Linked DNA regions of Schizosaccharomyces pombe. The gene in region 1 interacts genetically with each later gene. Each region holds a gene or a part of one and is shown in the gene's direction. Other genes may lie near its edges.

The links.
Region 2: mutations in gma12 (region 1) and otg1 impair growth when combined (synthetic growth defect), as found in Schizosaccharomyces pombe (one study listed by BioGRID).

What each region holds. Positions count from the first base shown.
Region 1 is NC_003421.2:315,215-320,030, reverse strand, and holds gma12 (Golgi alpha-1,2-galactosyltransferase Gma12), read left to right. Parts: upstream 1-2,178; coding exon 2,179-3,306; 3' UTR 3,307-4,204; downstream 4,205-4,816. Other genes in the region: msf1 (phenylalanyl-tRNA synthetase), read left to right, coding at 4,378-4,816. UniProt on the Schizosaccharomyces pombe protein: Involved in the O- and N-linked oligosaccharide modification of proteins transported through the Golgi stack. This occurs in cis Golgi where the enzyme transfers galactose from UDP-galactose to a variety of mannose based acceptors.
Region 2 is NC_003424.3:165,196-169,942, reverse strand, and holds otg1 (alpha-1,3-galactosyltransferase Otg1), read left to right. Parts: upstream 1-2,203; 5' UTR 2,204-2,407; coding exon 2,408-3,523; 3' UTR 3,524-4,129; downstream 4,130-4,747. Other genes in the region: alpha-1,2-galactosyltransferase Gmh2, read left to right, coding at 93-1,133; alpha-1,2-galactosyltransferase Gmh1, read right to left, coding at 4,226-4,747.

The sequences.
Region 1 (4,816 bases):
GACGGTACCAGTCTTATTGTAGATGCAATACATTTAAGCAACTCTTTAAATGTAATATTTAAAGGGAGTTTCTTCAGTTCGTTTTTTTGCAGCAAAACTTTTGATTGCGGTGATTCCAGTATTATTTACTAACCATCGCATGCCAGAGCGATATCTTTTTACAGCAACCATAACTCGGTTTCTTATTATCTTTAACGATAACCTAGATGGTCTTTGATTTTTCATTACACACTCTCATAATTAGCACGTTAAAGAAGCTTTGGAAAGCTGAGTGAGCATTGCAAAAAAATTTTAAATGGAAGTAGACAAATTGACTCTTTTCTGCAATGTTCGGAGGAAATAGTTCCTTTCTGTATAATCCTTATTTGAAAGTTTAGGATTTGCGGAACCCTTTTTTTTCTTTTCCACCCGGTCCGATAGTTGTAAAGGGGACAAATTTATTTTTGTCCGTTTACAAAAATAAAGAAGTAAAGCAGTGTAACTAAAGGGGAAAACATTGAGTTTTATGGTAAAAGATCCTATGTTCCATTAAACATCGAAAAAGGTTTGTTGGCTTTGAATTTGAATGAAGTTACATGCAGTTAAGTTAGCGAAACGATCGATTGGAAATTCCTAAACAATCGGTATGGTATGGGATGGGACTAAATAATTGGAGGAACTTGCTATAAGGTAATTAATAATATAAAGAAGCCGATAATATACAGTATGGTAATAGAAACAAAGCAATGAATCTTGCTCAGTCATTACTAGTTTGCTCTCTAGGGTTAAATTAGTTGGATCAGTAATTTTCAATCGAAACAAAAATATTTAAATAAATACGAATTATGCTTTACTTAGATTTATTATTGTTTTATTTTTATTTATTGCTCTTTTCATCTTTTTTAGAAGTTTTATTGTCTTTCATGTTTGGAATAGAATTTTTTCCCATTAAGCGGCAGTACTAAAAAAAAATTATTTCGATGTCTTTTAAAACCTGAATGATACTATTATATCTCTTTAAACTACTTTTATTTCTAGCACTTGCCATGTTGTTTTGTAATATTGGCTTTACCAGCCATTTGACTTTTTCTTTGTTTACACTAACATCACCGCACCAAAGCGTCAAGAATTTACTGCAGAATTTTACCAAAGAATGTAGAAACTAATTTTCTTTGGAAATTCGGGATTGCATCGATGCACAAGTCACTGACTTCTATAAATACAATTGTTTAGCAAGCTCCCTTTTTTTATTTTCAATAACAGGTAACACGTTTGGCAGGTAACAAGGAGACAATTAATCCATCACTCCAGAAACATATTAGCATTCCCCCCCGATTTAAACCTGGCCTTAACTTACCACCAATTTTTTTTTGCTTAAGGCAATTGGTTTTGTGTTTGTTAACATTCTAATTGTAAGACCTTGACGAAAAACTGGTTTTAAAGGATTTTTTACTGAGCTAATTTATTCGTTTATACGGGCTTTGTTCATTTCGCTTTTGGTAATCTCACTTTTTTTTGGTTTCCAGAGGCATTTTTAAATTTCAATACTTTTTCTTGAGTTTTTGATTTTTGCTTTCTTTTTAGTTTTGCGTTGACAAGTACTGAATTGTAATCTTTATCGTGGATTTAATTAGATTCAAGTGATTTTTAACACCTACATTGCCAAGTAGTATTAAAGTATTCATTTCATTGGTTTGGACTAGTTATATACTTCAAACTGGTGTTTACTTCCTTCTTTCGCTTCTTTTTCTTTCTAAACTTTGCTATATTTTGCCTTCGTTCGTTAGGTTACTATTTATTTACAAATTGAACCTTTTCATATAGGTTCTCTACAGGGATTTTCTTACCATTACTTATTGTAACAGATTTCTTAGTTGAGAGAATATTTTCACTTGGGGGGGTTTTTTTTCTTTTTAATTCACCACACGTATCTAGGTTTTCTACATTCTCTTGGATACAATCTCTTTTATTGCACAGAATCTTCTTTGATTTTCGTCTAATATTCCTACTGTCGGTTCTTTTACCCTTCCTGTTTCTACTTTTTAAAAGCTCTCATATATCACTCATCACCATCCTTTCTCTAATTTTATCTTTCGTTCACTGCTTAATTTTGCATTTCTAAGGAAATTCTCCGTTCCTTTATCATTTTATTTTATTTTGTCTCTTCTATATTATTAGTTTACTCTTGATTATTTGACAATGCGGTTCGCTCCTTATTTAATTAGTGCTGTTGTAATTACAACCATAATCCTGGGTGGAGCTTGGTGGACTTCAGCTATGGATACCAAGCTTCAAACGAAGATGAAGGAGATCATCGACCAACACACGAGTACTTGGACCCCAGTCGTTTCCTCCGTAACCAGTACCCAAACTGATACTTTACGTGTTACCATTAGTGAAGTTGTTAGTGTTACTGCCACTTTAACCGAAACTTTCACTGCTACTCCAACTGTCACTTCTGTAGTTCATGCTTTAGCTACCACTGATCCTCATCCGGATAACTCTAAAATCGTCATTTTGATGGGCTCTAACTTTCAAAATGATGCTAACTCTCCTCTCCATCCTTTCGCTCAGTCCATTATCAAAAATCGTCGTGAATATGCTGAACGCCATGGTTACAAATTCGAATTCTTAGATGCCGATGCCTATGCTTCTCGTGTTACAGGTCATTTAATGCCCTGGGTTAAGGTCCCTATGCTTCAAGATACGATGAAGAAATATCCTGACGCTGAATGGATTTGGTGGCTTGATCATGACGCGTTGGTCATGAACAAAGATCTTAACGTCGTCGACCATGTGCTTAAGCACGACCGATTGAATACCATTTTAACTAGGGAGGCTGAATATAAGAGTGGTGCAGGTATCCCCGCCGATGGATTTAGAACTCCAAAGGATCAGGATGCTAAGGATGTTCATTTCATCATCTCTCAAGATTTTAATGGTATTAACGCTGGCAGTCTTTTTATTCGTAATAGCGAAGTTGGCCGCTGGATTGTTGATTTGTGGTTTGAACCCTTATATTTGGATCATATTCAGGGATATGCTGAGCAACAAGCGTTTTCTCACATGGTATTTTACCATCCCCAGGTGTATAAACATGTAGGTGTTGTCCCACTTAAGGCTATAAACGCATATGATTTTGATGATAATATTTGGGGCTATGACGACGGGGACTTGTGTATCCATTTTGCTGGATGTAACTATTTTAAGAATTGTCCCGAGAAGTTCCTTAAGTATGCTCAAATTTTATCTTCTAAACAAGGATCCGATTGGATGTCTGCTCAAGAAAAGGATCATATTCAAAATCTTTTGAAACCATCATCCTAGTTTTTTTCAGTCACGCATGGAAAAATACCTTGTACTTTAGACTGGTTTAATTTCATGATATTTGTCATTTTACTCAAGAACAACGTCTGTCCAGTATGTTGGTAGTTTTCTCAATTTTTTATTATCGGGGATAAGCAAACTCCTTCTTTCATTACTAATCAAGTCATTTAATTATCCTCCCCTCCTTAGTGAACACCTTAATAGTTTCTCCCTTTTCATGATTTCATGAGCTTAGTATCATTACGTTCAGGACCTTCTAATTTCGTGTTGGAGGATTTTAGTGTTGTCTAATCTATTTCCTTTTCTAAAGTCAAGTTTTGTATCGTACTTTAAGTACAAAGTTCGAGTTTTGCTGTTACGCTTCAAACCGTTTTATTTAATTTTTAAACCCCAGCCTTTCTTGGAGTAAAATGTTAGTAGATGACAAACTTGTTAGGGGTTTGAATGAATTTTCATACGCAGAATGCTGCTTTCTTTAAAATCGGGATGATTTGAAATGTTATTTGAAATGTTGAGTTTTTTGTAGCCTACATTACGATTGTACGGCTTATAGGACAGTGAAGCTATTAAATACTTGATCTAATATGACCGATTACAAGAAAGTCCTTGATAATTTTTCTGCACTTCTTTTGAAGTTGGCAACTTTATGTACAGTATGATGCTCTATCTTTCTAAATAAAGTTATGTCAGGAGTCTTATGGAAATAAAATTTGCAATTCGTCGTAATGAAATCCATTTGAGTGATAATGGCTTTTGAAATTAAAGCATATATTTTTTTTATGCAAAAACAATGAATGAAATATTTGTAAACTGACCAAATCTATAAACCACTGCTTGAAAATTAAACGATTCGAATTTTACTCCTTTGTTCATTGTATCCAAGAACGGCACAACCCCTATATTTGGGTACTATCATTTTTTTACTTTCAAATGGGACGCAATTAAGACCGATTGATTGAATTCTATTAAATTATTATTATATATTAATTTTAAAAATAGTTAGCTTCGTTGTTCTAATTTAAATTATCATTGTTTGATTACAAAAAGTGAAGTGTGTTATTTAAGAAATCAATGTTCCCTCATCGAGTCTCTCATTTATCGAAACTATTTTCGAGAAGGTTTCCCAATTGGAAAAGAAAAGTCCAAACAGATTCTTGGTCCAATGTCCCAGAGCATATTCACTCAAAAATTGGTCGAAACCTTTTTCAAAAAGAAGGTCATCCCATATGCAGTCTACGACAACTTCTCGAACAGCAATTTCAAAAATTCGAAATGAATAATGTTCAAAAAGAATCACCTATTGTTTCTGTAGAGACGAATTTTGATTCTTTAGGATTTCCCAAGACACATGTAAGTAGAAGCAAATCCGATACTTACTATATGAACAATAAAACTTGTCTTCGAACCCATACCTCGGCTCATCAACCTGAAGAGTTCTCTCGCTTGGCCAAAGAAGGATTTAAGAAAAATGGTTTCTTAATAACCGCAGATGTATACCGTCGCGATGAAG
Region 2 (4,747 bases), on another chromosome or scaffold:
GATTTCGGAAAAGCCTTTTTTTCAAAAAAAGTTTTCCAGTTATTGTTTCATTATTTCTAATTGATTTACTGAAGAATTGTTATAACCTAAAGATGGCACTTATGTTATCCAGGATTCCACGTCGTTTTTTTTTCTTATTTTTAACGGTCGGCTTGATTGCTGGCGCGTTTCTATACTCGTTGATATATTTTGTGGACGTTGATTTGGTGTCGAAGGTTAACCAGTTGTATGATCAGCAAATTGCACCCATGCTCTCCGATGCTATTGGCACTCCATCCGTTAATCACTCGTTTGAGTTGGCGCCGTTAGACTCTCATTTGGTGGCCACAAGCACTACATTCCACGAGGCGTCATACGAGTCAGAGCCTCAGCAAAATCCTGCCAGTCAAAATATTGTCTTATTACTAGTTAGTGATGGACACACTTCTTACAATAATGGAGCTAATACGTTTGAAGAAGCTATACAGAACAGAGTTGACTATAGTACCAAACAAAACTACAACTTTGAGTATGTCAATGTTACTGGCCTCCCTATTCCCGCCGTTTGGTCCAAGATGCCCGCCGTCTTACAAACTATGAAGAAATACCCCAAAGCGGAATGGATCTGGTTGTTGGATCAGGATGCAATTATTACTAATACCCATCTTTCCCTTCAAGACTCCTTTTTGAAACCTGAGAACTTGCAAAAGACCTTAATTACTAATACCATCCTCACTAAACGGCCTATAAATGCTAACGGGGATTTGCGTTATACACCAAGTAATTATAGTTTAAAAGATATCGAAAATCTCATGGTCATAATCTCACAGGATCACAATGGATTAAACGCAGGTAGTATCTTGTTCCGTAATTCACCTGCTACTGCCTTGTTTTTGGATATTTGGACAGATCCTGTTGTTGCAGAATGTGCGAAAGCCAATAATGAACAAGACATGCTTGGATATTTGATTTCTAAGCATTCACAACTTGCTTCGCTGGTTGGCCTTATTCCTCAAAGAAAAATAAATGCTTTTCACGAAGGTCCGGAAAATATGGAATGGCAAAAAGGTGATTTGGTAATTCACTTTGCTGGATGTTGGGTTGAAAACCGCTGCGATGAACTATGGCAAAAGTTTTACGCCTTGATTGACTAAGTTGCTTATTCATTATATCCGTCTGTTTAATTTGTTTGTGTTTTAAAAAATTTTATATATATAAACAAAGCGCCGTATAATTTTCCGTCAATCTTCCTTTCTTTATCTGAATCTCTAATAATGTTTACTATTTTTTAATCTTTACATACCTAATTAATATAGCGGTTGTGCCATAGCAATCAAAGTTTCAGGTTAGTTTTTTATAGCGAGATATCTGGGAGTTTTGTTTTACACAATCGTCCATCAATAATTGTTATATATTGTATATATTTCACATTGACTTTGAAGCTGTTTCTGTTGGTTCAACTAATTTGCTTTGGCAATTTACCAATGCAATATTGAAGATTGGAATAACAGTTTGGCGTTAATAAATCTTTTTAATAATTTGCATTTCACCGCAGCTGCCATTTTCTGTTAAATGCTGATAGAAGTTTTATTGAATCATTCGTGTCGGATTATACTAAGTTTTTATTTATCTTGTTTTTTGGCCCTACAAAGTATTGGTATGTCCTTATTTTATATTGATTACACTGGCTTTTGGCCTTATAAAGATATAGATTAGTTGCTAAGTCTAAAAGATGTATTTTTTAACGGTGGTTCCATTACGTCTGTGCACCCACTGTTTACACTTGTGTCTTTACAAACCTAGAAGCATTTTCCGATTAATGAGGTCTATCAGGTCAAGGAGAAAGAATATTTGAATAGATTTATCGACAAAATATATTTCGTTAAATTTACACAATATTTACTTTACCAATAAGCTAAATGGTATTTCCAATACTTTTCCAGCTAACAGTCAGATTTTTCACTGTTTGAAACAACTTCACCAAATTAATTCATTAGTGTCAATTTCTATTACATGCTTAAGCTCATAATTTTCAACATCCAGATAGCTCGAAAGTTGACACCATTACACACAAACTAAGATGATTGTGAAAAAACAAAGCGTTAGGATTTGTAAAAGGCAATTCCACAATTTGAATTACAATACTGTAACTGAATATAGCGCGGCACATGGTACAAACAACGTGCTGGTAATAAATTGACAAATGCAGAGCAACCCGCGTGATGAAACATAAATCTCGGATATTTTTTCTTTAAAGGGTTGTTAACGCAAGTCGTTTAAGGGTAAAAGAAATAAATAAATTTTAGAGGGTAACATCCTCATAAAGGGAGTCATCTTTAGAGCCTTTTTTCATTTTTTTAAGGCTTTCGAAAATTTCACGTGTCTCAAATTCTATTGTTTCAGCGGTTCGTTGAATTAATCTCTTATCATGTCTCGAATTTCACTTTCAAATTTTTTATCTCTTCCGCGTTACAAATTCCTGTTGTTTTCTGTGGTTTTGATTATTGTGATGACAACCTTAGTGTTTAACGGACACGATTATAAGCAAACCCTTAATGACCGGCTTACTTCATTAAAAAACAACTTTGTTGAGGAAAATGATAATGCCGTCTTAAAAGAAGAGCCTGGCAAATATACGTATATGAGTTTGTTTACTATGCCTTCTACTGAAGAGGATTACTACTTCAACGCTACTAGGGTTTTAATTCACCGATTGAAATATCATCCTACTACCAAAAGTAAATACCCTATCCATATCCTTGCACTCCGTGGAGTAGATGAGTGGAAAATTGAACGTTTTCGAAAGGATGGTGCTTCTGTGATTGTTATAGACCCCATTGCTTCATCGGATATTGTATACGATACATCCTCATTTAGTCAAGAAATATCTGCTAGATATGAACAAATGTTTTCGAAGTTGCGAATTTTCGAACAAATACAATTTGACAAAATTTGCGTAATTGACAGTGATATATTGATCATGAAGAACATTGATGATATATTTGATACTCCTTATATGTACCAACAAATTAATACCTTGAACTATACACGGCTACCTTCCTACACGAAGCCTGATGATGATACCGTCTATCACTTCAATGAGGATTTTAAAGAATATGGTGCCAGTCGAAGCGAATTTTACCCTTATCTTCTCGCAGCCGTCTCTGATAGAGGAGAGCATCATAGTATACCTCCAGAAGATACTCCTTATTTCAATGCTGGCTTAATGCTTATACGTCCAAGCGAGCTTCATTTTAACCGTATACTTAAAATCGGAAGGTTTCCTTATATGTATGAGAATGCCAAAATGATGGAGCAAAGCTTGTTGAATCTTGCATTTTCCTTGGACGGATGGTTTCCCTGGACTCGTCTTGATCCTTATTACAATGGCGTGTGGCCCTCAATTGACGAACGTCCTCTCTTAAAAACAGCACACGGAAAATTCTGGAATATTGGTAGCTCAGAATTTGCACCAGTATATTTAGCTGACTGGTATGCTGCTTATGGCGAAATGCTGTCTTTTCATAAGTATGAAACTCATTAAAGGAGGAATACCTTTCTTTTTTCTGTATTGTGACCTTATTTTACAATTAGAAGTTAAAATCTAATTGTATGTTATATATTTGAAAATTTCTTTAACTTATTACCATAATTTTATTTTAGACTTGCTATCCTTATTGTCTAAACGCACATTGTTTAGATCTCTTCAGCTTTCTTTGATTGCTGGCTATGTATACAACTTTATTACCTGCGTCTGTCTATAAATCCCGTTAGCGGTGATTTGCTTTCGGTCAGCCTATTTTTAGAATATAATTTTGGACTTGCGGTTGATTTTAATATACCTCTCATCTCTCCTTCATTATGGACTCATTAGACCTTATGAACAAACCCCAATTTTAATTATTATCACAAGCGTTTAGCAATTTTTGATGCTTAAACTAGCCTGAGGTCCAAACAGGATAGTTTAATTAGTGTTAGACATTAATATTTTTTAGAAAAAGATACTTTATGTCTAGAGGGTTGTTTTTGAAGCATTTTATAGAATTTATTCTTTTTTAAGAAAATTAATTAGATTTGTAAAAATGTGCAGCTTCATAATTATTTATGGAGCGAATCATTTATGTTTAAATAAGACGGCATTAATATAACGAAGTAAAAGATAAATAGTAATAATAAATTAACTGTAAATGCAATTGAAAATGTTAGAGGCTATAACGCGCCGACACTTGGGCATTGATTTAGCCTTTTAAATTATTTTATCTTTGTATTTAGTCCATAACTCGGCGCATTTGTTTTCAACCCAACATCCAGCGAAATGAAGAGCTAGATCTCCTTCTTGCCATTGCATTGTAGGGGGTCCTTCATGAAAAGCATTGATAAATCTTTGAGGAAGAATGCCAACCATGGAAGCTACCTGCGAGTGTTTTTGAATGAAATAGCCGATCAAATCTTGTTCATGACGCACGACTCCTGCATCTGCCAAAGAAGGATCAGTCAATAAATCCATTAGTAAAGCGATGGATCTTGAATTTCGTACTAAAAAGCTTCCTGCATTCAATCCGTTATGATCCTGAGAAATTAGAAATTGTATTTGTTCTATCATTTCCTTGGAGTAAGCCGCTGGAGTGATTCTGAAATTATCTTCTCCGAAAGAGTTTATAATTGGTTGCTCCCTAAGCAATGATTTTTGGAGCATTGCAGGTGAGAGAAATAATTCCTGTAAGGACAGATTTTTGTTCATTATAAGAGCATCCTGATCTAGCCACCA